Linked DNA regions of Mytilus edulis. The protein of the gene in region 4 binds, or shares a complex with, the protein of the main gene of each other region. Links are inferred from orthologs where the notes say so. Each region holds a gene or a part of one and is shown on either strand. Other genes may lie near its edges.

The links.
Region 1: DNA-directed RNA polymerase I subunit RPA12-like (region 4) and DNA-directed RNA polymerase I subunit RPA43-like share a complex: the UniProt entries of both Homo sapiens proteins name them as parts of the RNA polymerase I (Pol I) complex. The link is inferred for Mytilus edulis from reciprocal best matches to the Homo sapiens genes POLR1H and POLR1F.
Region 2: DNA-directed RNA polymerase I subunit RPA12-like (region 4) and DNA-directed RNA polymerase I subunit RPA2-like share a complex: the UniProt entries of both Homo sapiens proteins name them as parts of the pol I pre-initiation complex. The link is inferred for Mytilus edulis from reciprocal best matches to the Homo sapiens genes POLR1H and POLR1B.
Region 3: DNA-directed RNA polymerase I subunit RPA12-like (region 4) and RNA polymerase I-specific transcription initiation factor RRN3-like share a complex: the UniProt entries of both Homo sapiens proteins name them as parts of the pol I pre-initiation complex. The link is inferred for Mytilus edulis from reciprocal best matches to the Homo sapiens genes POLR1H and RRN3.

What each region holds. Positions count from the first base shown.
Region 1 is NC_092350.1:28,387,230-28,394,140, forward strand, and holds the start of DNA-directed RNA polymerase I subunit RPA43-like, read left to right. Parts: upstream 1-3,891; 5' UTR 3,892-4,058; coding exon 4,059-4,249; intron 4,250-6,911. Other genes in the region: cytoskeleton-associated protein 5-A-like, read right to left, coding at 726-919, 1,414-1,470. UniProt on the Homo sapiens protein: Component of RNA polymerase I (Pol I), a DNA-dependent RNA polymerase which synthesizes ribosomal RNA precursors using the four ribonucleoside triphosphates as substrates.
Region 2 is NC_092345.1:94,834,080-94,842,011, reverse strand, and holds the start of DNA-directed RNA polymerase I subunit RPA2-like, read left to right. Parts: upstream 1-4,912; 5' UTR 4,913-4,985; coding exon 4,986-5,072; exon of another isoform or gene 5,073-5,499; intron 5,500-6,957; exon of another isoform or gene 6,958-7,907; coding exon 7,908-7,932. UniProt on the Homo sapiens protein: Catalytic core component of RNA polymerase I (Pol I), a DNA-dependent RNA polymerase which synthesizes ribosomal RNA precursors using the four ribonucleoside triphosphates as substrates.
Region 3 is NC_092352.1:27,401,484-27,409,070, forward strand, and holds the start of RNA polymerase I-specific transcription initiation factor RRN3-like, read left to right. Parts: upstream 1-4,599; 5' UTR 4,600-4,676; intron 4,677-7,178; exon of another isoform or gene 7,179-7,432; intron 7,433-7,587. Other genes in the region: coilin-like, read right to left, coding at 4,343-4,599. UniProt on the Homo sapiens protein: Required for efficient transcription initiation by RNA polymerase I (Pol I). Required for the formation of the competent pre-initiation complex (PIC).
Region 4 is NC_092345.1:1,181,629-1,188,653, forward strand, and holds the start of DNA-directed RNA polymerase I subunit RPA12-like, read left to right. Parts: upstream 1-4,014; 5' UTR 4,015-4,058; intron 4,059-7,025. Other genes in the region: multifunctional methyltransferase subunit TRM112-like protein, read right to left, coding at 1,181-1,282, 1,821-1,913, 2,573-2,674, 3,712-3,789. UniProt on the Homo sapiens protein: Core component of RNA polymerase I (Pol I), a DNA-dependent RNA polymerase which synthesizes ribosomal RNA precursors using the four ribonucleoside triphosphates as substrates. Can mediate Pol I proofreading of the nascent RNA transcript.

The DNA.
Region 1 (6,911 bases), on a different chromosome or scaffold from region 4:
ATAGTCTCCAAAAGAAAAATGCATCCAATTGTAAATAAAAATATCATTAAAACATAAACACTCCCAGGTAGGGACCAAAATCCCTATAACCAACTAATTTCCTTGACGCCTTCAACAATCATTGCAATTTTTTTTATATCATGTTAAATACAGTAGACAAAATATTATCCAGTTAATTTAAGCAAAGATTTTTGTGTCAATAACAGTGTAGATGTATTAGAATAAGAATATGGATCCTATTGAGTGCTAGGAACCGGATGTTCAGTGGTTGTTGTTTGTTGAAGTGATTCATAATTGTTTCTAGTTTTTTAAATAGATAAGACCATTACTTTAGGTGTGAGCCAAGGCTCCTTGTCGAAGACTGTATCTTGACCTATAATGGTTTACTTTTACAAATTGTGAATTGGATATTAAGAGTTGTCTCACTGGCACTCATACGACAAATTCTTATATCTATAGATTAAAATGCTCGAAGTAAAAGTCTAAGTCCTGAAATCATGCTAATATGTTTGCAAAGAAATTTTGTAAGATACTAATTTTACCAATCATATGATGAAACAAAATAATTTCTGAACTGAAATCTAGTATTTATGATATTTCAGATTTAGGGCCTTTGTCAACAAGACAGCTATCAAACATCACAATAAATCCATAGATGTCATGATACCATAGAATGGTGATATAAAACTAAATATTATCTTGTAGTTATACAAAAATGATCAAACCTGGATGCTACAGCAGCATTCTCTACAAATGCTAGAACAGCATCCAATGCTTTTTCTTGAGCCACAGCATTGGTATCAGTGACAAACTTCTTCATAAGGCCAGCATAGCGCTGGAATTCAGGAGACTTGGGATCAGTCTGTTGGCTAAATATCTTTGTAACTTCTTCATATCCTGCTAGACGTGCTTTCCATGTCTATAATACAAAAACAAATAAGTTAATTTCCTCCTGTAACACTAAAGCTTCCATTTACACTTCCCTTTCAATCCCAATTGGTAGGTAACTCAGGTCCAAGCCAGTTTGAATCCTTCATAAGGTAAAATGATACTAATAGTTTTGGCATTGCAGTCTACACCATTTAGTGTTAACCACTAGATGGATGTCCCAAGACTAATTGAATATCATTTTTAATAGTAAGTATTTGTAAATATTTGTTTATAAACATAAGAAAGTTGTCTGAATATTGGTCATCTGACTTGTAGTTGGAAAAGAATTTGGTGCAGACTGGCATTGCACTAACCTGCTAACATGACCAAGTTATGCTTTTCTAAGATTGCTTTTGATGTTGTTACTCTAACTCTGTTGAATGTGCACTAATTTTTGTTTTAGTTTGGGATAACATAAATTTTATATGTATATATAACATGCATAACCTACATGACCTATATCTTTGTAAAGTTTAATTTTACCTTATGCTGGCACTTTTCTTCAGCAGGAAGTTTCAGCCATTCACTGTCATCTCCCATTATGGATTAATAATACTCCTGGAAAATACAATGTCATGAATGTTTACACATGTTAGAAAAAAAATATTGCTTTGAAGGAATATACTGATATTTACATGTAATTAATATGATTCTATCGTAATTTGTAAATATTAAGATTTCAATGACACAACTCTGTGATTAATAATCAATATGTCAATAAGACTGACATATTCCAGAACATGAAATCAGGGAGGGTACATGTATTTCAATGCTAGGTGCTTTTACAGTTTATTTGTGCTTCATATTGATTTATTAAGTAAAATATTTTTTACAGTTTGTTCTGATGTTGTGATGCAACACCAGGCATGGGCAGGGTTGTGTGCTCACAAACATGTTTAACCTCACCACATTATTTATGTTTATACTGTCTCAAGGTTTGAGTCCTAAATTCAGTGGTTGTTGTTGGTTCATATTTCAAATTATTTGTTTTTCATAAATTGTACAGTATACCATGTACACATTAATATTATTATAATTTAAAGTTTTATTGTTTTTATCATATGTTAAGTAGTAAATACAGTAGTTTTGCATATTTGATAAATAGCCTGCTGTTTAATCCATATCGCGCAACTCTGATGCGCACCCTTTATCGCATACCCTTTATCGCATACCCTTTATCACACCTCTACCCTTTATCACACCCCTACTTTTTTTTTTTTTTTTTTTTTTTATATGAAGCATGTAAAGTCAGTTTTGTTTGTTTTTTTTTGCTTAAGAAAAATTTTCCTCAAAATAGGTCAATTTTTTGAATGACGTCATTGTTTGGTATGTGACGTCACGAACGTCAAGTTTTCATATTGTATTTGACGTCAAGAACGTCAAGTTTTCATATTGTATTTGACGTCACGAACGTCAAGTTTTCATATTTTTTGGCACACTAATTGCAACTATAAAAAATACAAAACACACAAATAAATACAATAATAAACATTTTTTTTTTAAACAACAGCACGCAAATTGTAAGGTAGCCCAGGTGCTTCGGATAAGTAATTGAGCAGTACTTTTGAAAGCCTTTGAAACAAGACAAAAGTAGAACTGAAGGTAACCCAGTGCTATGGATCAGAAAACAGTTCATATAATATAATACTATTCTGTTGAAACATATGATAAAGCGTATAATACATGGCAAAATCCGTATCACATGCCGTATCACCCTCGACCAATATCATCCCTCGGGCCTAAAGGCCCTTGGGCTGATATTGATGTCTCGGGATGATACGACATATGATACAGATTTTGCCATGTATTATTCTCTATGTATCGTTATGTCTAGGCCTTTCATGAATATAAAGTATGAGTTTTTTTTTTTTTCATTACTGTAGACTGTAGGGTTATAAGTTAACTATAATTGCTTTTATCTCTATCATTTAAACCTCAGGAATTTTAATTGCTTAGCTTGAGGCGAAACAAGGGAACAGCGCCTAAGGCTCAAAATGTTAAAACTAAAAAAAACTTCTCTCCTTCAGATTCATTTGAATCCCCCATGTCTAACCCAGCAAAGCAATGAGAATGCACAACGTGCAAGGCGTGAAAGCGAAAAAGTATAATAGCCTTTCAAGATGTCATAATTATTTGTCAGCCATTACTGGACATCACACAGGTTCCTGTAAATTTTTTATATCATAATAAAAATATCTGACGCCACAATGGAAAAGTAATTGTTGTATGACGTCAATTGTTCAAGCAATACAAATTTTCGGTTCAGCTGGGAATAGACCTTATTGCTATTCTCGACTGAACAGAGAATCTGTCTCTCTCAAACTATTTCCATTGTGGCATCAGATATTTTCTATTATAACGTAAAAAATTTACAAGAACTTTTGTGATGTCCAGTAATGGTGGACAAATACACCTTATCGCTATTCCCGGCTGACCCGTCCGCTTGAACTTTTGACGTCAACAACAATCACTTTTCCATTGTGGCGTCAGACATTTTGTTTTATGACGTCAAAATTTTACGGGAACCTGTGTGATTTCCAGCAATGGCGGACAAATAGCGATAAGGTGTATAGCAATAAGGTGTATAGACTATAGGCTATAGACTGTATGATAAGGCGGATAACAAATCAGGTCAACACCTCTCCAGGAGAAAATACAACATATATTGCTATTTGCAAATGTTGTGAGTTTATTTCATTTCATGATCTGACAGTAAACATATATTATGAATCACTGACATCAGATTATGACAGTTGGCAACTTTACAAGTAAGAAAAAAGGGGACCTGCAAAAACAAAAGGGGATATCAAAGCAATTTATCCTAACAGTTTCAAGTGGTGATTTGGTAGGGATCAAATCAAAAGCATACTTACATATATGCAATATAAATATTTAGTTATCTCATATGAGCGCTGGATTTGAATGGTAAATATTTCGGTCAACCGGAAGTTTCGTGGCGCCATCTATAAACTTGGATTAACTTATAATTTTACTTTAATTAGTTCAGAATAGTATTTATACATCAATATTCTTAGGGTTTTTTTTAACTCAAAAAAAATATTCAACATTGACCAATTTTTCACAAAGCCAAATTTTGTCACACACTTTCGCGAACTCTAGAAAAAAAAATGGCAGCTTCCATGGAACATACACGATTGACATTTTCCGAGGCAAAATCACTAATTTCAAAGTGTTCTTTTTCCCATCTTGAAGCAGTTTCATCTAAGCGACATATTGTTTTACCCCCGAAGTTTTTCAACAGTATTTTACAAGGAGTGAGAGAACATCTCAACTCAGAACTGCAGTTAGTTGCAAGCTGGTAAGAACTCGAAGTGGTTTGAATACCTCCCCCCTTTTTTTGAAAATTTTCTGTGGACCACTTTTATTTTTTGCAATGAAATTTTCTACAGTTACAACTTGTTTTTACCTTAAAAATTGAGACTGTAAAAATGGGAAAGAATTTACAGAGTCCAAATTACGAATGTAAACATGGCTGGGACTATACATCTTATTGCTAATCCCAGCTGACCCGGCCGCTTGAACTTTTGAGCATACATCAATCACTTTTCCATTGTTGCGTCAGATATATTGTTTTATGACGTCAAAATTTTACATGAACCTGTGTGATATGCAGTAATGGCGGACAAATAGCGATAAGGTGTATTATAAATTTATTATACCGTACTTAAGGGTCTGCAAACTGAACAATCTGTTGAGATTTCATTGCCCCAATAGCGGATTATTGATTTTTGTTTTGGTTGACAGCGTATTGTGTCATGTAGTAAATTAGCATTCGGTACATGTAAACAATAGATTTCGGCAAACAAGTCAGCATATATATAGAAAAACAGTTAAAATTGGTGGACTTGAAATAAAGAATAATTATTAAACAGGGATAGAACTTAAGACTTTGGCAATTGTAGCCCACAGCTTAAAGTTTGTAGCCCAAATATAGTCTAATTTACAAGAAAAGCAGAAATTTAAGCAGCCCACACTAAATTAGAGGGGCCATTGGCCTGTGGGCCTCTGCTAATTTCATACCCTGTAATAAGCTAATTAGTTTAATGCAAAAACCAGATATTGTTTACGAAAAAATATTAAGAAGTAGTCAATATAGTAATGTTGAAAATAAACATGATAAACCAGATATAGTCGAAATGCAGCACTTTACTTGACCGCTAAGATAACAACGTGTCAAAGGTTGTCAGATCATAAATAATCCTGATGAAAACAATATGTGTGCAATAAAAACAATGTTGACAATTTCAATTCCTAATTAATTCATATAACAAAAGTTACCCTGGTCTCATGAAAATATAGCCACATTGTTTTAAACTTTTGTGAACTTCGTGTTTACACCAAAATTTCAATATGGCTGTGCATCATCGGGCCTACTTTTGTAGTTGTAATTGTGGAACCTAGTCTATTTTCACGAAGTCATATGCTTAATGCCACCTGAAGACCATTACTAAGCAAAATTAACCCTGATTATAATAAAATATTGCACACTTAAAAAGGAGTAGGCAATTTTGTAGGAACAGTAAAATTTATTTAAGCCGTGCATGTGGGTTCCGGTTGTAATGAGAAAGAGATATTTTTCCACTTGTCACTTTAAAACGACAATAAAAATAGGCAAATCCAAACTATAACCTATGAATATGATTTCACAACAAACCCAACTTGGGTATCTCTTTTCAATCAAAAGTTATAAGAAATTTAATTAATCATCTCCTTTTTTCCACATCGTTCCCACGTCATTTTCATCCTGAAAATTTCAATCTTTTTGTTATTTCTTACACTTAAGGCGGATTTAGTGATTAATAACAACTGTTAAAGATCGAGGTAACTTTTATCATTATAGTAATCAAGTTGTTGGCATGACACGGGTTATGTTCTTCTCATATATGTTATGATCGTATGATACTAAACCCCTAACGGGAAGGATTGTGCCTGATGTTCATATGATGAAATCATAATCTTTCAGTCAGTTTAATTGAAGTCTGGAGCTGGCATGTCAGTTAACTGCTAGTAGTCTGTTGTTATTTATGTATTATTGTCATTTTGTTTATTTTCTTTGGTTACATCTTCTGACATCAGACTCGGACTTCTCTTGAACTGAATTTTAATGTGCGTATTGTTATGCGTTTACTTTTCTACATTGGCTAGAGGTATAGAGGGAGGGTTGAGATCTCACAAACATGTTTAACCCTGCCGCATTTTTGCGCCTGTCCCAAGTCAGGAGCCTCTGTCCTTTGTTAGTCTTGTATTATTTTAATTTTAGTTTCTTGTGTACAAGTTGGAAATTAGTATGGCATTCATTATCACTGAACTAGTATATATTTGTTTAGGGGCCAGTTGAAGGACGCCTCCAGGTGCGGGAATTTCTCGCTACATTGAAGACCTGTTGGTGACCTTCAGCTGTTGTTTTTTTCTATGGTCGGGTTGTTGTCTCTTTGGCACATTCCCCATTTCCATTCTCAATTTTATTATATTAAGGATTATCATTTCTAATAACTATAAAATAAAAAAAATAATTTCAGAAATTATAAGATCAAGGCACGCTTTCACTATCAAATCAATATGGCGTATCCATAAATAGCGCAGGTAAAGTCTCGTTCTAACGACTGTGATTTAGATATTCTGATTGGTGTAATGGTTTCCAGTCCTGTTAGTATGATAGTCCCAGAAACATGGTAAATCTTTCTTCGTATTTCCGAACTCAGTCACAACTTTAACTAATTTGAGGCAGGCATTACCTGTGAAAGGGGATGAAGTCTATGATTTTTTTTCAATTCAAACATAATTTTAACATGTTTAACTTTAAAATCTGTTTAAAAAAAAGAAACGGAAATACCTTGACTTTTCTGATTTTTGTTCTGTTGATTTGGATTTTAGTTGTAACATTATTTGACCTCATACTCAATGTAAACAAAGATATGAAATCATCAGGTAACGTTTTTTCATATCAAAGAACTATTAAA
Region 2 (7,932 bases), about 94 Mb from region 4:
GGTATTCTGTAGAACGCCCTATAGTATATACTTGAAAAATAAACAACATGGGATCCTGTAGAACGTCTTATAGTAGATATATAATGTTGAGAAAACAGGGGATCCTGTAGACCGCCTATGGGATCCTGTATAACGCCCTATAGTATACACTTGAAAAACAAACAACAGGGGATCCTATAGAACGTCCTATAGTAGATATATAATGTTGAGAAAACAGGGGATCCTGCAGACCGCCCAGGGGATACTGTAGAACGCCCTATAGTATAAACATGAACAACAAACAACAGGGGACCCTATAGAACGTCTTATAGTAGATAAATAATGTTGAGAAAAGAGAAGACCCTGTAGACCAACCAAGGGATCCTATAGAAAGCCTTATAGTATATACATGATAAACAAACAACAGGGGAACCTATTGAAAGTATTATCTTAAATGCATAATTTTTATAAACAGGGTATCCTGTAGATCGCTCAGGTATTCTGGAGAACGCCCTATAGTATAAATATGAACAACAAACAACATGGGGCCCTATAGAACGTCCTATAGTAGATATATAATGTTGTGAAAACAGGGGATCCTGTAGACAGCCTAGGGGATCCTGTAGAACGCCCTATAGTATACACTTGAAAAACAAACAACAGGGGATCCTATAGAACGTCCTATAGTAGATATATAATGTTGAGAAAACAGGGGATCCTGCTGACCGCCCAGGGGATACTGTAGAACGCCCTATAGTATAAACATGAACAACAAACAACATGGGGCCCTATAGAACGTCCTATAGTAGATATATAAAGTTGAGAAAACAAGGGATCCTGTAGACCGCCTAGGGGATCCTGTAGAACGCCCTATAGTATACACTTGAAAAACAAACAACAGGGGATCCTATAGAACGTCCTATAGTAGATATATAATGTTGAGAAAACAGGGGATCCTGCAGACCGCCCAGGGGATACTGTAGAACGCCCTATAGTATAAACATGAACAACAAACAACAGGGGACCCTATAGAACGTCTTATAGTAGATAAATAATGTTGAGAAAAGAGAAGACCCTGTAGACCAACCAAGGGATCCTATAGAAAGCCTTATAGTATATACATGATAAACAAACAACAGGGGAACCTATTGAAAGTATTATCTTAAATGCATAATTTTTATAAACAGGGTATCCTGTAGATCGCTCAGGTATTCTGGAGAACGCCCTATAGTATAAATATGAACAACAAACAACATGGGGCCCTATAGAACGTCCTATAGTAGATATATAATGTTGTGAAAACAGGGGATCCTGTAGACAGCCTAGGGGATCCTGTAGAACGCCCTATAGTATACACTTGAAAAACAAACAACAGGGGATCCTATAGAACGTCCTATAGTAGATATATAATGTTGAGAAAACAGGGGATCCTGCTGACCGCCCAGGGGATACTGTAGAACGCCCTATAGTATAAACATGAACAACAAACAACATGGGGCCCTATAGAACGTCCTATAGTAGATATATAAAGTTGAGAAAACAAGGGATCCTGTAGACCGCCTAGGGGATCCTGTAGAACGCCCTATAGTATACACTTGAAAAACAAACAACAGGGGATCCTATAGAACGTCCTATAGTAGATATATAATGTTGAAAAAACAGGGGATCCTGCTGACCGCCCAGGGGATACTGTAGAACGCCCTATAGTATAAACATGAACAACAAACAACAGGGGACCCTATAGAACGTCTTATAGTAGATAAATAATTTTGAGAAAAGAGAAGACCCTGTAGACCAACCAAGGGATCCTATAGAAAGCCTTATAGTATATACATGATAAACAAACAACAGGGGAACCTATTGAAAGTATTATCTTAAATGCATAATTTTTATAAACAGGGTATCCTGTAGATCGCTCAGATATTCTGTAGAACGCCCTATAGTATACACTTGAAAAACAAACAACAGGGGATACTGTAGAACGTTCTCTTAGCCTAGTAGATACATCAAAAACAAACAATAGGGTATGCTATAGAACGTTCTATAGTTTATATATAATTTTGAGAAAACAAAAGGGGAACCTATAAAACGTCTTATAGTATATATATAATGTTGAGAAAACAGGGGATCCTGTAGACCGCCTAGGGGATCCTGTAGAACGCCCTATAGTATACACTTGAAAAACAAACAACAGGGGATCCTGTAGAACGTCTTATAGTAGATATATAATGTTGAGAAAACAGGGGATCCTGTAAACCGCCTATGGGATCCTGTAGAACGCCCTATAGTATACACTTGAAAAACAAACAACAGGGGATACTGTAGAAAGTTCTCTTAGCCTAGTAGATACATCAAAAACAAACAATAGGGTATGCTATAGAACGTTCTATAGTTTATATATAATTTTGAGAAAACAGGGGATCCCACAGACCAACCAAGGGATCCAGTAGAGAGTCATCTAGTATAAACATGATAAACAAACAACAGGGGATTATATAGAACGTTCTCTTAGCCTAGTAGATACATCAGAAACAAACAATAGGGTATCCTAAAGAACGTTCTATAGTTAATATATTATGTTCAGACAACAGGGGATATGGAGAACACGCCCTTTAGTATATTCATGACAAACAAACAATATGGGATCCTATATATATTTTTTTTCAAAAATTACAGGGCCCATAAAGGGCATAGAATCAGATACAATTGATTTACATAATTGGTAACAACAACAATAATAGAGGCATATACATATATATTTGGAATATAAGCAATGGTCAGAATCAAGCCAAAAACCACATATATATTGTGAATAAAAGAATAATAAAATTACATTATATATATGTATTTATTCTCAAATTGTTTACTTGACTTAGTGTCAGTGTTCATATCTAATCTCCTTAATTAAAAAAAGTCACCAATATAACAGCCCAGTTTTTCCATAAGAGTGACATTTTCTTGGGTCAAGAGCCATAAAATTTAGAAGATTTATTTAAATTTATAAAATTATAACAATTGTTAGAAATGTCTTGGAAAAAATCGTCCCTTTGAATATCATAAAGAGGGCATTCTAATAAAAAATGAAGCTCATCTTCAACTTTACCGAGTGAGCAATTAGAACAAAGACGCTCAGATCTTTCTACATGTTTTTTTGAATTTCTGTTTGTCTCAATTTTTAAAGAGTGAGCGCTTATTCTTAATTTACAAATTGACTGTCTTTTTTTTAAGTCCTGTAATTCTAAATACTTTTCTTTTTAAATCATTTTTTTTTTCCATTTTTCGGAGTTAATTGTTTGATGCTTCAGTTTATTCCAAAATGTGAAATTACTTTTACATAGTTGATTTTTAAGATACTGACATAAAGAACCAATTGATTGGTCAAAATTTGGTATTTCAATCTCTTTGAATATAATCTATACTACAATACCATGTATTTACATTAGAACTTTGTAACTGTATGTTTACAACATATAAATGCATCAAATAATCATCCTTCTTTCAAACGTTCCAGTCTATGACAATATTTTAACATTGATAAAATTATAGTAAAATACATAGGAAATCTACCAATCTCTGACATTACAGCTATATTACTTGACTTTCTATTTACACCAGGAATATATTTCATAAATTTGGTATGAGCTTTTTCGGAAGAATCCTGACCAAAAACTTGTTCCTATAGAACGTTCTATACTATATATAGTAGATATATATATATAATATTCAGACAACAAGGGATCCTGTAGACCCCCCCCCCCCCCCCAGCTGTAGACTGCCCAGGGGGTCCTGTAGAACGTCATTTAGTGTATACATGATAAACAAACAATATAAGGGATCCTATAGAACGTTTTGTAGTAGATATATAAGGTTCAGACAACAGGGGATCATGTAGAACGACCAGGGGATCCTGTAGAACGCCCTAACAGTAGCTTTATTGTAAACAAGTAACAATGGTTCCTATAGAACGTCCAGCTATAGTAGAATGGTCAGACAACAGGGGGTCACATTACAGATTCGTTTCTTTAAACGCAGACCAGTTTAAACACCCTCTCACACTCCTGTAAAGCCTTAGTACGTGTAACAATATATGTTTAACATGTGTAAGCTACATCTTTTTTTCAATTTGCCTACATAAAAATACTCTTTTAGACGGATAATAAAAATATTATTAACTCCATAGTATATCCAAAGCCGTGGGACCACGTGCATGTGACATTTGCAGGTCTTTACAACATAATTAAGGCACTAAGTCCTACTGTTTATCATATCTATATGAAATGTTTCATGTGTATCTTAAAAAGGAATCTGTATATATTTGTACTATGATATATGCTACTGTAATGCGGTACATTTTTCTTTTTTTCATGTGATAAAATAATAAATAAAGCAAATTCACCGTGTTACATGAAAGTTAATGATTTTGAATCGGTTTTTTTTAATAGCTGTACATGTTGAGAATATTCTATTTTTAGAATAAGTATTTTCAGAATCGTTTATAAATAGCCTATAAATAGAATATGCATAATTCATGATTCGTGACGTAGGGCGGTCTACGGGATCCCTTCTTCCGCTTACCATATACACGTGTGATATAAAAACAAAACAAGCTGGGTAACTAAGTTAATATATATATGTTCCTGAAAAAAGTGACGGATTGTGAGGAAAAGGGGGAGGGCCAATAAAAATGTCCTGTGCCCAAGTATCTATGATTCTCTTCGGGCCACCACAAAAAAAAACAATAGTGCCGAGAGTGGCGTAAAAGACAATAAATTAATCAATAATGCGTGTTCATGATATTCTCCTTGGTAACTGACGAACTGACGAATATTTTTAAAATACGGAATTCCAAACTACGTCCTACCCTGTAATACTATTATTATTTTTTTAATTTAGTCATCAAAACGTTTAATAAGACAGAAATATGTTCTATACATTCAAACCTTATATTTACGTAGACAACAACAACAAATGCACGTGGGAAGAAAATCAAAGAACTTTTGTTCAAAATGACAGAGACTGGGGATCGAATACAACCAAGTTTCAAAAATTTAACACATAAAGATTATGGCAGACCTAATGATAAGCAACATATGGTAAACCTTATAAGTTATATATTTGTTTATATCCGATCTGTAGACCCCCCTTTTTTCCCCTACTGTCGTTCTGACACTAGTCACAGAAACAACCGTTTCATACGTCAATTATGTCAATTGATGTTTCAAAATAACAAATGGATAACAAATGTTGAGTTAACACCTACATATTTTCACTAGAATCTGATAAACCTGTGCAATTTTTTAAGCATAAGACAAATTTATAGCTAGTTTCCACCAGTGGCAGTACATAATTTTTTTTTATAATATTGTCTATTGTCTATAATATGAGGCAGGCATTACCTGTGAATGGGGACGAAGTTGTTAAAAAAAAAGAAACGGAAATACTGTAACGTTTCCGATTTTGGTTCTGTTGTTAGGTATTTTACTTGTGACGTTATTTAAGTTATGACGTCTTATTACATTGGTTGTAATGAATTACATTGATTCCCCAGTTAGATAAAAACCGATAATTTCACATGTGAAATAAACGGGGTTATTTCACTCTCTGATGTCATACAACAATAGGCGTTGTCAAGACGTCGATAACGTCGGATCAAAACAAATTGTCAATGCGTAGGAAAAAGATATAGTTCCTTACCAAGGATCCGGAAATTTTTTCACCTAATTTCGGTCATTTTCATACAACTTAAAAGTTGATGCCCCTTTTCAAAAAATGATTGTCAAAATCACATTACTGCATGAGACTCATTATGAGTATGCTCATACTCGATCGTCATGTTCGTAGCATCAACAAACTTGTTTCACTGTTGCATCGCATTTACTTCATGATTTGTCCTACCATTTTCCAAAAATCGTTTAAGAGCAATTAAGGGAAGGCAACAGTTTATAAATAAAATGATTTTAATGACTCAAAACGATAATATTCTCAGTTATTGCTTACGTTTCCTTTGATTCTGAAGTCAAAATTCAAACCGGATGTACTGCGACAATACTAAAACGAACAATTCCGGACTCATTTCCGGGATTAGTTTTGTTTATCCAAATCACAGGAAATCATCGGCTTTTTAATATTTTACCTTTAATAGTGTAAGAATATTAATTAAAATAGTTGCACTAGCTTTATTTAGGATGAAATTATTTTATATTTACAATTAATTGTCTAAATCTGTGGAAGAGAATTTCAAACATGCGTATTACATAGTAAACAAAGCACGTGTGTTAGAAGTAAAAAAAATATTTTTTTCTATGAAATTAAACCAAGTTTTAATTTAATTTTAAATCATAATTGACAATTGTCTGACCTGTTGAGTAATTAAATAATGAAGCCAGTTGGTATGGAATTTTTATTTCTTTATAATAATAGTTTGGAGCTTGTGATTAATTGCCAGGTGTGAATTAAAAACACAGGTAAAGAGATTAGCAATCATTAGCCAATAGCTCCCCGAGGCATTAATATAGTTATTAGGAGGGCCCTCAGGATTATAACACTTTAATGAAGTGGCAGTTTAATTACAGGAAGTCGATAACAAAACAAAAATATGTTCAAAATGGCGATTTTGAAAGCTGATCTCAACGAAATGACCGAAATTATTACGGTTGAAAAATAAAATTTGACCTAAATCCCAATTAAAAGTTTAGGACATTATAGTTTCAGTTTAGGACATGACTGGCAAATATGACCGTTTCCGGACCCTTGTTCCTTACATTTTCCACATTAATTTCATAAAAAAAAAACATTTGCCAATGTAATAAAAAGAATAACTAATCGCCGTATTTGCCGTAATCACTCGTTTAATCCATGCGTCGTTCGGTCACGCGTTGTCTTATTTTTGATATTCAAATACGGCAATTAGTTCTACTATAAATGTTCAATGTAAACAAAGAAACACAATGCATCAGGTAACGTTAATTCATATCAAAGACAAAGAATTATTAAAAATGAAATATTGGCATTGTGTTCCTTGAGTTCCTATATTTTACTAGACTACTCAAAGTCTCACGACAACAAGACCGGAAGAAGGAAGTAGATTTCTGCGTTCTGCGCAAATGCGGGAATTAAAGAAAGCGACAAAAATATTTGAACGAATTTTCCCAAAATTAAAAAAAAAAAATAATAAATTATTGATTTTTCTACTTTAATAGGGGACTTCTTCCCCATATAAAAGTTTATATACAGGTTCGTCATTACAAATGGAAAAAGATGGTTGTAATTATACCTCAAAAACTAACCTGTGTAGTTGAAAAAGTTTGAAGGCCTTATCCAATATCCACCAGATACATTTGTACATTGTACTAGTTCAAATAATTATGACCTCTTGCAAGGTTATTTAATTTTTTTTCTGGGACGCCTTCCTAAGTAGGAAAATTATAATAGCCTTGCAAGACATCAGATATATTTGGACTAACATTGTAAATATACTATAAAAGTTAAATGCATTTTGTGTTTCAGAAAGATAAAATCTTTAAAAATGTTAAAAACAGAACAAAAATGCCCATCTAATTAAAAAATTTTTTTTTATCTTTCTGAAACACAAAAGGCATATTACATGTACGTTATATATTTAGTGAATGCCAGGCCTTAAACCTTTTCATTTCTTTATGAAGCAACACACCAATTCTTCTGGAAGAAGTCTTCTTCTTCAAGAATAAGAACAATTTTGCAATTGACATGCTTGATAATCCATCCAACATGATCATACTTTGATATCCTAATACCATTCCAGTTTGTATACCCATAGTTTATGTGCAATGGCCTTATCATTATAAATTGTTAACACAGTTATATTATCACAAGCTGTTAGACAGAACTTGCCCTAAATACCACTGCCTGTACAAATGTATGCTTAAATAGTGATTATTGTTGTTTTTCAGCCTCTTCAAGAGCTAACCAGACCCC
Region 3 (7,587 bases), on a different chromosome or scaffold from region 4:
AAATTTCGGCCAACATGTGGCATTTGAATAACATCTTTTTTTCTAGCTTGCTATTAATCCTACAGTTGTTTAGTGACTGCTATTTTAATGTTTTATATTGATAAAACTGTGTCGAAACATATGAAATTGTGCTTGCTTTCTTTATAATTCAATAATAACGTATATATATTGACAGTGATTTATATGATTAACCTAGACCAATAGCAACCAATTTTCTTACACGCAAGGATAAGGCATGCTAAGAACTATAAAAAGGGGATTTTGGACTGGCAAAACAAATTTGAACTCATCTTTACAGAAACTTAATAGGTTATGTATATTGTACATTGTATCCATTTATAGCAGGGATCTCCATGGATGAAAATTGAACGATGGAGGAACTTTCACCATCATAAACCGTATCTAAGCCGTACAGTGTAGCGCGATCGAAAGTATTTCATCCCTCCACATAAGGATAGGTGAACATGCTAATTCATTACTTATTTAAATTATGTTTATTTGAATTTTCATTATAAATACTATATAGAAGAATATATATTTTCAATAATTGCCGTTTGTAACCCTTCAAAGGCCAAGCCCTCGTGCCCCTCCCTTTCCCTTAGTCGAGAATGACCAATAGCTATCACAAAGGTCCCCATGTAGTTTCCTTGCTATTTTTGGTAATTGTTATGGGGGTTAAAAATCATGTGGAGCTTATTTTTCACGGACACTGTCAAATTCAGAAGTCATGAACCAATTACCGGTATGGCTGGTTTGCAGCAACGACAAAACAAGTCGTACGGGTTATTTAAAAAATTAAAAAGATTTGTTAAGCAAACGTTGTCAAATGAAAAGGTTTTTAATGACTTTATCTAGCAAATGATTTAATCGATGCTATGCAACATGCATCTTTCAAGTCTAAATAGAAACCGGAAAAGCGGATGTATCAATTTGATTGTAATACACCTATCCATTCTCCTGCCAATCATCAGTTAATTGACCAATCACATGTGGTCAATTTACCACATGTGTAAACATTTGATAGCAGCACGTGTTGTCGGACATAACCTCGGTCAAGCTTTCTTATCTGAACAGTTAATTTGATAGAATTTTTTTGAAATTTTCGCAATTAAATCATTAATAATATTGTTTTAGGGAAAGGAATCAAAGTAGGAGGGTAGAGGAAGGTCAAGTTGTCAATTTCCAACAAAATAAAAGTTTATTTTAATGAATGAAACTGATTAATAAATCAATAAAAAAGGAATAGGATGGCAGTGCTTACTGATTTTAAAATATTGTTTACATGCTAATAGTATTTTTTTTTAAATGATGAAAAATATATATTTTGAAACACAAGATTTCAATTGGTTTACAAATTGAATTAGAATTCAATTTTGAGATTTTTTTCATTCATTTAATAATTAATTATACTATAAAACATCCAAGTTAGAATGTGCTATTTCTTGAAATTACATTACAAATATCATATTTATGTTTGTACTGTCATTCTTAGAATTTTGTTAAGAGGTAGGGGAAACTTGAATAATAAGAATAAAAATATATATTTCAATAGATGCTTATCATAAGTAAAATAAAGTGTAGTTTTGATACGACTTGGTCTTCTGTGGGAATATTTACTGATTTAACAGGATTATTATCATATATTTTATCAAAAGAAAAAAAAAAGAAGTGAGAAGTTTTCGATATATTTTATTTTATTAATTTGCAATCAAAAAGGTACAATGTGCAAATATTTCAATCTTAAAAGGATAAGAGTACTAGTCTATATGAATTTGAAGCCAAGACGAACTTCAATGACCAACCATACATGTAAGCAATGCAAGTAACTATCTATCTAGCAAAAAATAAATAAATTTTCTTTTGTTCTTTATTTTTTACTTAGTGATAGGAATTTTAATTATCAGTATAAGTTATCTATGGACATAAAAAAAAAATGGTTAAATATTATTCAATAAACAATTATTAGGTACTGGATCAATGATGCTTGTTTTACAAGTTGACCCAATGCTGTGTTTGTCTACATAGTAAACAAACTTATCAACATTCATTAGCCATGCTTAATTAAACCTGGAATTTATCATAATAATTTATCTAATCAATCATATCATATTTTTATCTTGTTGTTACATTTTTGTGAATGAAAGTAATCTAGTATATAAGCTTCAAATTTCAATATTGTATTTGTTTCTTTTAATTTAGTTGAAATGGTCAGAATTTCATAAATCTATCTCCCAACTCTTGAGGAGTAACTATTTTATCATATTTTAACACAAAAGCATAAATATATTGCTCTTCTTTATATTTTTTATAACATTTTCTTTACTTTGTTATTATCCAATGTTCATAATAACCGCCATTTTGTTGATAAGCTTGACCCAAGATGCTGGGTTGCCATGTGTTGCTAAGGGAGGCGGGCTTATCAGTAGATAGTGGAAAGGTGTATTTAAACTACCAAATGAATTCGGAATTACGATACGATATTTCTTTACAGGAAATATTTAAATTTTTAACTTTTTAACTTTTAAAGTAATTCTATATTATTGTTACAATACAGCAGTACTCGAGTTATTTGCGATGAAATAATAATTACTGCTTTACGTCTTATTTTGTACTTCTTAAAAAGGGGGATGCAGATTGCGTAGGTCAAAATAAAAGCATGTGTTCTACTTATTAAACTTTGTAACTGGATTATTAATTTATTTATTTAATCTGAATTATCATAAGCATTTGCAGAAACTTAGTTAAATTATTCGACAGATGAATGGTCTATCTTCAGATAATATTCTCCTGTCTGGTTTGTTGATCTACCTGTACAAGCTCAGGTACAACTGATTAGCGATCTTAATCCGGATATCCCTCAGGCGTTAGAACTGTATTGGATTATACTATAAAAAAAAGCCTGAGGGTTATGCAATTTCATGCATTTGATTATAATTGCTAAAAAAATGGCGTCAGGCTATAAAAACGATCACAGTTTTGAACGATGGCGGAAGACAATTGAACGATGGCGCGAGTCATTTGACGATGGCGCAAGACATTTGAACGATGGCGGGGCGCCATCGTTAAACAGGCCATGGAGATCCATGTATAGTAATACATTTAAACAATGTAATCACATGCCTTTACAATGGTTTAGTTGTAATTTTGTTTGAATATCTGGCAAAGGTAATTTAACTATTGCATAGAATAAATGTCCAGAGACTATAGACTAATTGTATGAAAGATTGAGAACAATCTTTACACCTGTTAAACAAAAAGATTGATAACAAACCTTTGAGACCTCTGATGAATATAAACAATAGCAATATTTAAACAAACTGGATCATGATTAAATGTTAACCAATTTCGACACTTAAGGTAGCCGAAAATTACTATTTGATGTCCGACGGTACACATAGTACAGGGCATTTCTACTAGCTGTCCTATATGAGGGCAGAATGAACTTGAACTGGAACAACTTTGGATGAATCTACTTGGCCCGAATTTACATGAAAGCAGTGTCATAAAAGCTACTGTTGTGTGCAGCAACACTCCAACAAGTCTTCCTGCCTCATATGAATTCTTCCCTTAGAAGGTGTGCTAGATACTTAGTAAGCTGTAAGCGATTGAGATAAGGAAGTACTTTTTTAGCCCAGTCAGTTAACACGCTGCCTGGTAACACAGAGGTCTTGGGTTTCTAGTCCTGGTAGAGACAAGATTTTTTAGTACATGTTTGTATGTAGAATCATGCTCTAATTGGCGCCAAACTAGAAAAAAACATGGTGGTAAGAGGGGAATTCTAGCTTGGGTACATTTATTTTGTGTGAGAGTCATTATGGTATGATGACTCTTGAGGTGGGGGAAGTGTTTCAGGATTATGTGGTAGATACTTAGTTAGCCGTAAGCGGTTGAGCTAAGGAAGTACCAATTAATTTATCTCAGTACTGCACTGCAAAATCCAGTTAAGTTATGAATTTTCTAAATCATACAATGCATTTGAAGTCTATTCATCTAGGGCATGCTTTGCCTTAAAACGTTTCCAGATGCACAGGTTTGTCTGTACTCAGAGTAAATTTTGAGGTGAAAATGCAGCCATTTTAGCCACAGGGTCCACATGGTCCACATGAACCATAACATGCTGCCTGGGAAGAAGGAGGTCTCGTGTTTGAGTCCCGGTGGAGAATAGATGATTTTGTATGTAGAATCAGGATCTCCGGATACATTAGATTAATTGTTGCTTGCTTAACGTCCAGTGGCAAATATTTCATGACAAAGTATTATAAATTAATGATTGCAATCTTCTCTCAGAATTGCCTGCTATCAATTAAAATAATAGTCACTTCCTTTTCTACCTAAAATTTACCTATCTTGATGGATACACTTTGCATTAACACAATCATTGTCTCTTAAAATAACTGACTTCTCCCAATCTGGAAGTAAACATCCTTGTAAAGATAAATACAGAGGGACAGCTTTTCCAAGAAATTTCAAGGATATATGTCGCTGTACATCTTTCATTGTCCGGAGATCACCTGTATCGATTAATAACCATGAAGCATCAAACTCGTTGTTTTCAAAATACACTTTAATTCGAACGTGTGTGGCCATGGGCGCAGCCATCTTGATTTCTAGGGTATAACTCGCCTCCAATGCAGAAGATCATTACATCAACAGCACGATTTTAAAAAGTGTGACAGGTAATTTCAAATAAGTCACGTAAATTCAAACACTCGTCGTTTCAGAAGATATAGTGTTATGCTTTCTTAACGAAATACATTCTAAATCACAAAAATTATGAATTATTATAACAGAAAAAAAACATAATTTGGCATAATTTAAATTTGTTGACATACATACGTACTGATTATTTAAATTATTGTCAGTAATGATGGACTTGCTAAATCCCTTTTAGGATTATAGACAACATATTCTACCAAGATAATGTACAAGGAAAGACGAAAAAGAAAGAATCGTAGACTTATTCTTCAATCTTCAATCTTTGTCGTGATCACAGAGTAATCTCTCTTGTGAATTATCCTCTCTTGTAAAATAATTATCACTAATGTAGTTTCTCCTTTGTACTTAGATATTGTAGGTGGCGCTTTAAAAATAATATGAGGCAGGCATTACCTGTAAATGGGGACGAAGTCTGTATGAATTATTTTTTTGTAACTTAAATATTTGTTAAAAAAAAGAAACGGAAATACCGGAACGTTTCCGATTTTGGTTCTGTTGTTAGGGATTTTAGTTGTGACGTTATTTAAATTATGACGTCATATGCAATGTAAACAAAGAAACGCTATCATCAGGTAACGTTTTTTCATATCAAGGAATTATTAAAAATGAAATTGGTATTGCGCGTTCCTTCCTATTTTATACTAGACTGATAAATATATATTTTACTCAAAGTTTCATACAAACGAGACCGGAAAAAGGAAGTACATTGTACATTTCTGCGCAGGTCCGGGATTTCAAAACACGACAAAAAAAAAATTGAACGATTTTGAGTTCATTAGTATACAATGAAAAATTCGGGAAATTTTCCCGAATTTTTTTTTTTATTGAATTTTCTACTGTTATTGAAAAAAAATGGTTAATTAGATTATCAAAATGGCATGAAAAATTAAAAAATATTAAAAATTAAAAGAAATTTGTATTAAATTATCCACTAAAACGGTTTGTTTCCTTTATATACGCCGCTAATAGTTGATTAATACTTTGTGTATTTGGCAAATTGATTGTTAATAAATTGACTTATTCGATACCAGACAAAATTGACTTTAACCAATGCAAAGCATGATAAATTGAAAGTGATGTATCGGCGGTTTAACTAATTTTTCACGAAAAATAATTTCTGAAGTCAATGGTATTTAGTTAAACAACAAATTAATGTTATTAAAAGATTTAAAAACCTTATAAATTACTCACATTACGCACAGATAGATTTGCTCTTTCTGCTAGCTCTCCATTGTAAATAAAAATTAATGTCCCTCATTAGGGATCTCTAATTACAGGGTCAATTACGGAAATTGGCAAATAGCCTATTGAAATAAGAAATTATGACACTTTCGCAGTCAAGTCAACACATGGTCAAACAAGCAATCACTTTTCCTTTGTAACGCGTCAGACATTATCTCTTCTTCTTATGGTATCCAGTTAGGCTGATTAAAATTAATTGATCGATTTTAATCCCCGCTTGCCCCTCTGAAATCGTCCTTCCCCAATTTTTTATTTTGAAAAATTTACGATTTCCGTTTTTTTTTCATTTCCGTTACCGGTAACTGTCAATAACTTCGTTTCATTCAAAACTTCCTGTTTCAAATATCCGTTTTCATATTTCTTGTTTCGAGTACTTTAAAACGATTAAGTTGACATGTACATATTCTGCTGCTCAACAACTGCTCAATAATGACAAATTATTAGGGATGTCAAAAGATTTGAAATTTAATACTCGGATACTCGGTCATGATACTTGAGTACTCGCAATTACTCGGATGAATCTTAAACGCCTATTGAAAAGTTTAGATTTGAGGTGGAATGCAGTATTTTGTTATTACCTTTTATAAACATAAGACAAATGTACTACAAACATAGCTTGCTTCTCCTTTTTTTTGTGTTTATTAAACAATGAATTACCGACCGCCGTTTCTACAAATAACCTATCATAATTGTTGTTTGTGTAAGTGTTTATGAATCCAGAGACATGTCTCTGATGAACCAAATTCCAATAAAATAAAAAATATTTACATATAAAGTCCTACAAAGAAGACTACATTTGTATCATCTGTTCCTGCGGAGTTTTTTTTTAATACGATATGTCCATTAATTTTTCAACAACAATATTGGACTTTAAATTACTTTTGCTTTTTCGTGTCGCTCAGTCTTACTTTTTCTGTGTTTTTTTTTTTTGCTCTAGATCGTTGGTCTTATTTTCATTTTTTTTGTTTTTAATCATGTATAAACACCGTTAAAAATGTCTCTATTCAGTTGCGTAGGGTTCACCGCAGGTCACTTTGTTCTTGTTAAGAAATATGATCTGGTCAACAGTTTCAGACGAAAGACTGTTTGACTTTCTATTTTTTGTTTCAAGTAGTGCACATGAAAACATTCCCCCGGAAGGAAAGGATGTTGCTGGTACTACTATAACAAATAGTAACCTAAGGATAAACATATTTATGTTGTTAATTGATTTTATTTAGTATTTCGAAGGGGATACTTCAACGGAACTAAAGTGAGTGGAAATGTGAAGAGAAATATCTCAAGATGTATAACAGCAAACGAGTATCCGAGTACTAAAACAGTACACGAGTACTCAGCCTTCCGAGCGAGTACTCGAGTACTCGTTGCCATCCCTACAAATTATATCATATACCGAGAATAGAGATAATTTACAAGAAGGGCATGAAATATTCAGGTTGCGAGTTATATGCTGTGTCGAAGAACGCAAATCGAGGTATGGTACAAATAGGAAATTTCTGTCATTAGAAAACTGTGTTTTTTTTTTTATAATTCATTGACTTGTGTCAGCAAATTTGGGCTGTAAATGATTTCCAAAGCGAAAGAATCGTGAAACACATAGGTATTAACACATAACTGGATTAAAGAAAT
Region 4 (7,025 bases):
TAAAATGTACATGCCATATGACAAGGATGATATTCCTTCCTACAAGTTTTCAGGTGGCATTCTACATCAATGCAATATTTTATCAAAATCTATTCTGCGGTTTAAGAGGAATTGTGTTGACGAGAGAACATTGCCATATTTTGCAATATTACAGTAAGTTGGTTTGATTATCTCCCCTCAATATTTAGAATAAGATTTAACTCTTTAACCCCCAATCCCGCCTGTAGGCGTGATGGCGACAACCATTCTTTGATGGCCCGTATGACCCTCCATACCTTTTTTAAACTGCCCAACCTGAACTGTCATTAGAGCAGGGACTTCAACCAAGCAGTTCATGGTCCATAAACTCTTCTCGGACGTCTGATTGTGAAAATATGGCACTTTGAAAGCCCTTTAAGAGTTCAAAATCGGAAAAACGTGAAAAGTAGCCAAAATCAGGTGGGGGTGGGCATCTTTTGATGGCCACTACGTAACTGGTAGTCATTGTAGGTATAAACTATTATCGTAAATTCATGCATAGGTGGTATAGGAACACAAAGAGGTATCATATGGCCAATAGGAAACTAGTCTGTAAAATCTAGGTCACCGTTTTGTCAAAAATCCGTAAAAACAGACATTTAGGCAGACCTGACTTAAGAATAATAATTCGCCAGCAAGACACTTAAGTCCCATAAACTCCCAGTTAGCATGATTTGACTTCTGTATCTATGGGGTAAGATTTGAATGACAAAGAAACACAGTCTGGTCAATGTTCACCTCTCAAGGTCGTTTTAAAATCGGAAAATAGACGGGAAATGACAATTTTTCAGTGGGGGTGGGTTCAAACCGATTCATTTTTCTTCATTGAAAACCAATTGCCATGGATTTCGTGAGTACAAATTTATCCACAGTAACTTTGTTTTAAGAGGTACAAAATTAAATACATACTTGGCTTATACCTTTATTAACAGTCACATGCTTAAAACAAGCATTCTACAACAAAGGAAATGTTCTTTACCAAATTCTGTAACAAAGTACATATGAAGATTGTGTTCATAATTTTCCCAATTATTTCTGATGAAACTTTACATTTCACATGATGAATTGTCAAAATAATTTTGTTGCTTTATATTCAATTATCAAGTCATAGAAAATGTATGACACAAAGTTATTATCACAAGATTGTTCAAAATGGCTTCTGTCACACCTCGTCTTCATTCAGCAACATGTTGGGTATTCCTCTATTAACAGGGAATTTCCTTCCTGTCTCAGGACAAATCAGATCACCTTCTACAATTTCTACCTGCCAACAAAAATGTGGATGTAATTATTTAAAATATAAGATTTGGTATTATCTCCATAAAACTATATGTGTTCATGGCTGAAACTGTATTCCTAATGGTTTTGTTCACTTGATCTTAATGTCCTCTAAAAAATCTTTAAATTTTCTTATTCTTGTACATTTGGGAAATTTTCAGTAGAACCATAACTAATTATGCCATCATATTACCTGCTTCATCAAGTCTTTTTTAAGTATATTGTCATGGTGATGTCCCGTGCTCCTTTAGATTACAGACATTGCCAGCTTGATAATGAGAATGTTGGAAGCCACAATAGGATAAAAGTTGTAATATCAATATAAACAAAATATTATCTTAAATCAACAAGGAGTATAAACAGATTATCAGTTCTACTTTCCGAAAAGGGAGATAACAACTTAAAATTATAATTCTGGAGTAAAATTCATTATTCCAGAAATTGGCTTTACTTTTAAATGGTTGCTAACTATGATTATACATCTTAACTAGTTTGTAAATTTATCTTCTTGTTATCATATATACCTCCATAAGAATTCTGTGTGCCTTTTTTAAAAAATCTTCATCAGATTCATAACTTTCAGCAACTTCTGTTGGTAAACCTTCATTATGACCAACCTTAAATGTAAAAATAAACAAAACATAAACCTTAATGTACCTAGCCAACCTTAGTGTACCTAGCTAATGCTAGCTTATCCTTGTATTATATTTTGATTATTGTGGATAAAATCCCTGCAGACATTGATCAACTTTATTGCAAGAAGCCTATTTAAAAACTCAATACAGGAAATCTAAGCACTGAGGGGTTGATTTTCTTTCAATTTTTATTTATAAACATGATAAAGAACCTCATTTTTTTACATAAATAAGGCCGTTAGTTTTCTCGTTTGAATTGTTTTACATTGTCTTATCGGGGCCTTTTATAGCTGACTATGTGGTATGGGCTTTGCTCATTGGTGAAGGCCGTACGGTGACCTAGTATAGTTGTTAATGTCTGTGTCATTTTGGTCTTTGTGGATAGTTGTCTCGTTGGCAATCATACCACATCTTCTTTTTTATAAACTACCTATTGTACAATGTATATTTATTTTTAGCATTTATTCTCAAAATTAAAATGCTGGAGTTTAATTATCTAGTTAAACTATGCATGAACAAGTTATTAATTGATTATTCAGAGAGTAAAAAATCTTAAAATTAAAAAAGATTTCTTTCAGATATTCTTAGAATTATGAGTTGTGTCCCTTTGTATTTTCTAACTATATTGCGTATATCCTTACTGACTGAGCTGCCTGACACAAAGCTGGCCAATCCACTTTAGGGATCATTCTGGCTGTGAACTCTGGATTAAAGTCAACCTCTTTCACCTCCACTTTAGTTGCCTATAAAAAAATAATCAACAAAAATATGTGTTACCCTTATTTCAATTAAGTTGTATTTGTACAAGTATATTCAAGGTGTCTAAACTTATATATAGCTGTGGTGTGTGCTGAGTAAATCAATGGTAAATAAAACACTGTGTGAATAGAAAAATATATGCTTTACTTTTCTTTTGCCTTGGCAGGAGGATGACTCTCAAAATGAAACAAAGTTGAAATGAAGAGCTGCTTGCCAATCTGGTAAGTAATAAAAAAAGGTTTCACACATTTACACACTATGTATGAGAGGAGGAATACCGGTACTCTTTACCATCGGAGTCAAATTTATGGCTTTCATAAGAATCAAATTGGTTAAAATGTTAATGAGATCAAGGACATATACATTTTGTATATAGTATAGTTACATGTATATGTCCTATTTTTCAGAGGTTTCAAATAATTATCCATAACCTTTACTTTTTGGAGAGAAAAAAAATCAGGATTCGTCAAAATCGGTCGATTATTATATCATCATAAAGAAAATACACATTTTATTGTCATGCACCAAAAATTACTATGGCCTTTAAGAGCCGTTTTTGGCTACCATTAACGTCAAATTGGTTAAAATTTTACCGTGATTCCTCAAAATATCCTTGCCGAGATTTGTCAGACATGTCAGAGGTCTCAAAAAATTATCATTACCGTCATTTTTAGAAAAAAATTAACGTGATTCGTCAAAATCAGTTGATGTTTTATTGTCAGAGTACATTTTATCGTCATACAACAAAAATTACCGTTAACATCATTAGGCAACGATTTTTACTGTTATTCATCATAAAGGTACCCCCATTTAATACAACCCTCCTTTACATCGTTTGGTAATAATTTTATTTTTATTCATGATGAAAGTACCCCCTGTATAGCTGCCTAATTATAGTCATTATACAATTTAGGACAACAGGATAAAAGGGGTTAGCAAGTTATAAACGGGGAGGTTTAGAAGGCTCGTTTGTCAATTTCTACATTGTAAAATACAGCTATGCAACAACATTAAGTTTCACCTGAATTGTTAGTGGGTATCCCTTCTTTACACCTTTTATTATACTAGAAGTAAGCATGTTGTGAGTAAGGAGCTTCATCTTTCTCTTTCGCTTTATTTACGTCGATTACTAAACAATGCAAAATTTCGTACAAAACGAAAATAAAATTTGTTTCATTAAATCTGTTTTTAATTTCATTTATTTTTTTCAGTGCTAATTACAATGCATTGAAATTATATTTCTATTTTTCAGATCCAAAATTATTTTTATTCACATCAATTTTGTTTCTTTTTTCACTTCGTTTTATCTAGTAGATAATTAAATAATCTTTTTTTTTATTAACCAAGATGTCTGCGCCCATGAAACATGTGAGTTTATTTTTCTAAATTTTCAAATCTAAATTAAACTGCACGACATTAAACACATTTGAAATTGTAGGTAGAAGTGTTCAATTTATGTTAGAATTTTCATATTGTTGCTCAATTGATACATGCACATTATTGGCATTAGCGTACAAAATATGCATGAACTTTATTTTTTGAATACTGTATATACATGTATGTATGTATGTATGTACTGGTAAATGCCTCCGATATCCGAAGAACCCCTCGAAAGCTGCGAGCGTACAGTGGCATCCATGTACACTCCCTACTCGAATGGAGATGTGTCACTAACGTATGTTTATACGACAATTATTTTTACAAGGACAATTAATCCCCACCCAACACAAAGGGAGTGCTAGGACATCGGGAATTCTGTTATTATGGTTGAGGAAGCCGAGAACTCGAAGTATCAGAAGATTGATCTCCAGGTCAAAGTAGGGGCAACTTTGACAAACGGAGGCCCCCAAAGTACTCATTCTAGTTTAAACTTCGGTCTGGGTACCATAGATATGGCACAAAATGTGCACCTGAATATAGGTATCTTGTTTTGTTACCCCCATTGAAGCAATGGTTACATTGGTTACATTGGTTACACACATGGACCTTTAGTAAATGATATGCAATGGTGGCTTAATCTGTTGCAAACTGTACATTAATGGCTGTCCCTGGGGAATCCAGTAAAAATTTGTAACCAGCCTGTGAAAGTCTGGTTACAATGGTTACATGCATGGGAAATCAGGTTACACTGGTTACATACATGCAGAATTTGGTTACAGTGAAACATGCATAGAGAAATCAGTTACAATGGTTACACACATGGGAAAGTTGGGTTACAATGGTTACATGCATGGAGAATCAGGTTACAATGGTTACATGCATGGAGAATCAGGTTACAATGGTTACATGCATGGGAAAGACGGGTTACAATGGTAACATACATGGGAAAGTCGGGTTACAATGGTTACATGCATGGAGAATCTGGTTACAATGGTTACACACATGGGAAAGTAGGGTTACAATGGTTACATACATGGGAAAATCAGGTTACAATGGTTACATACATGGGGGAATCAGGTTACAATGGTTACATGCATGGGGAATCAGGTTACAATAGTTACATACATGGGAAAATCAGGTTACAATGGTTACATGCATGGAGAATTAGGTTACAATGGTTACATACATGCGGAATCTGGTTACAATGGTTACATGCATGAGGAATCAGGTTACAATGGTTACACGCATGGGGAATCTGGTTACAATGGTTACACGCATGGAGAATTAGGTTACAATGGTTACATGCATGGAGAATTAGGTTACAATGGTTACACGCATGGAGAATTAGGTTACAATGGTTACACACATGGGGAATCTGTTTACAATGGTTACATGCATGGGGAATCAGGTTACAATGGTTACACGCATGGGGAATCTGGTTACAATGGTTACACGCATGGAGAATTAGGTTACAATGGTTACACGCATGGAGAATTAGGTTACAATGGTTACACGCATGGAGAATTAGGTTACAATGGTTACATACATGGGGAATCTGGTTACAATGGTTACATGCATGGGGAATCAGGTTACAATGGTTACACGCATGGGGAATCTGGTTACAATGGTTACACGCATGGAGAATTAGGTTACAATGGTTACACGCATGGAGAAATAGGTTACAATGGTTACATGCATGGGGGAATCAGGTTACACTGGTTACACGCATGGAGAATTGGGTTACAATGGTTACATACATGGGGAATCAGGTTACAATGGTTACATACATGGGGAATCAGGTTACAATGGTTACATGCATGGGGAATCTGGTTACAATGGTTACATACATGGGGATTCAGGTTACAATGGTTACATACATGGGGGAATCAGGTTACACTGGTTACACGCATGGAGAATTGGGTTACAATGGTTACATACATGGGGAATCAGGTTACAATGGTTACATACATGGGGAATCTGGTTACAATGGTTACATGCATGGGGAATCTGGTTACAATGGTTACACGCATGGAGAATCAGGTTACAATGGTTACATACATGGAGAATCAGGTTACAATGGTTACATACATGGGGAATCAGGTTACAATGGTTACATACATGGGGAATCAGGTTACAATGGTTACATGCATGGGGAATCTGGTTACAATGGTTACACGCATGGAGAATCAGGTTACAATGGTTACATACATGGAGAATCAGGTTACAATGGTTACATACATGGGGAATCAGGTTACAATGGTTACACGCATGGGGAATCTGGTTACAATGGTTACACGCATGGAGAATTAGGTTACAATGGTTACACGCATGGAGAATTAGGTTACAATGGTTACACGCATGGAGAATTAGGTTACAATGGTTACACACATGGGGAATCTGGTTACAATGGTTACATGCATGGGGAATCAGGTTACAATGGTTACACGCATGGGGAATCTGGTTACAATGGTTACACGCATGGAGAATTGGGTTACAATGGTTACATACATGGGGAATCAGGTTACAATGGTTACATACATGGGGAATCAGGTTACAATGGTTACATGCATGGGGAATCTGGTTACAATGGTTACACGCATGGAGAATCAGGTTACAATGGTTACATACATGGAGAATCAGGTTACAATGGTTACATACATGGGGAATCAGGTTACAATGGTTACATACATGGGGAATCAGGTTACAATGGTTACATGCATGGGAAAATCAGGTTTCAATGATTACATACATGGGGAATCAGGTTACAATGGTTACATGCATGGGGAATCTGGTTACAATGGTTACACGCATGGAGAATTAGGTTACAATGGTTACACGCATGGAGAATTAGGTTACAATGGTTACATGCATGGGGGAATCAGGTTACAATGGTTACATACATGGGGAATCAGGTTACAATGGTTACAAGCATGGGGAATCTGGTTACAATGGTTA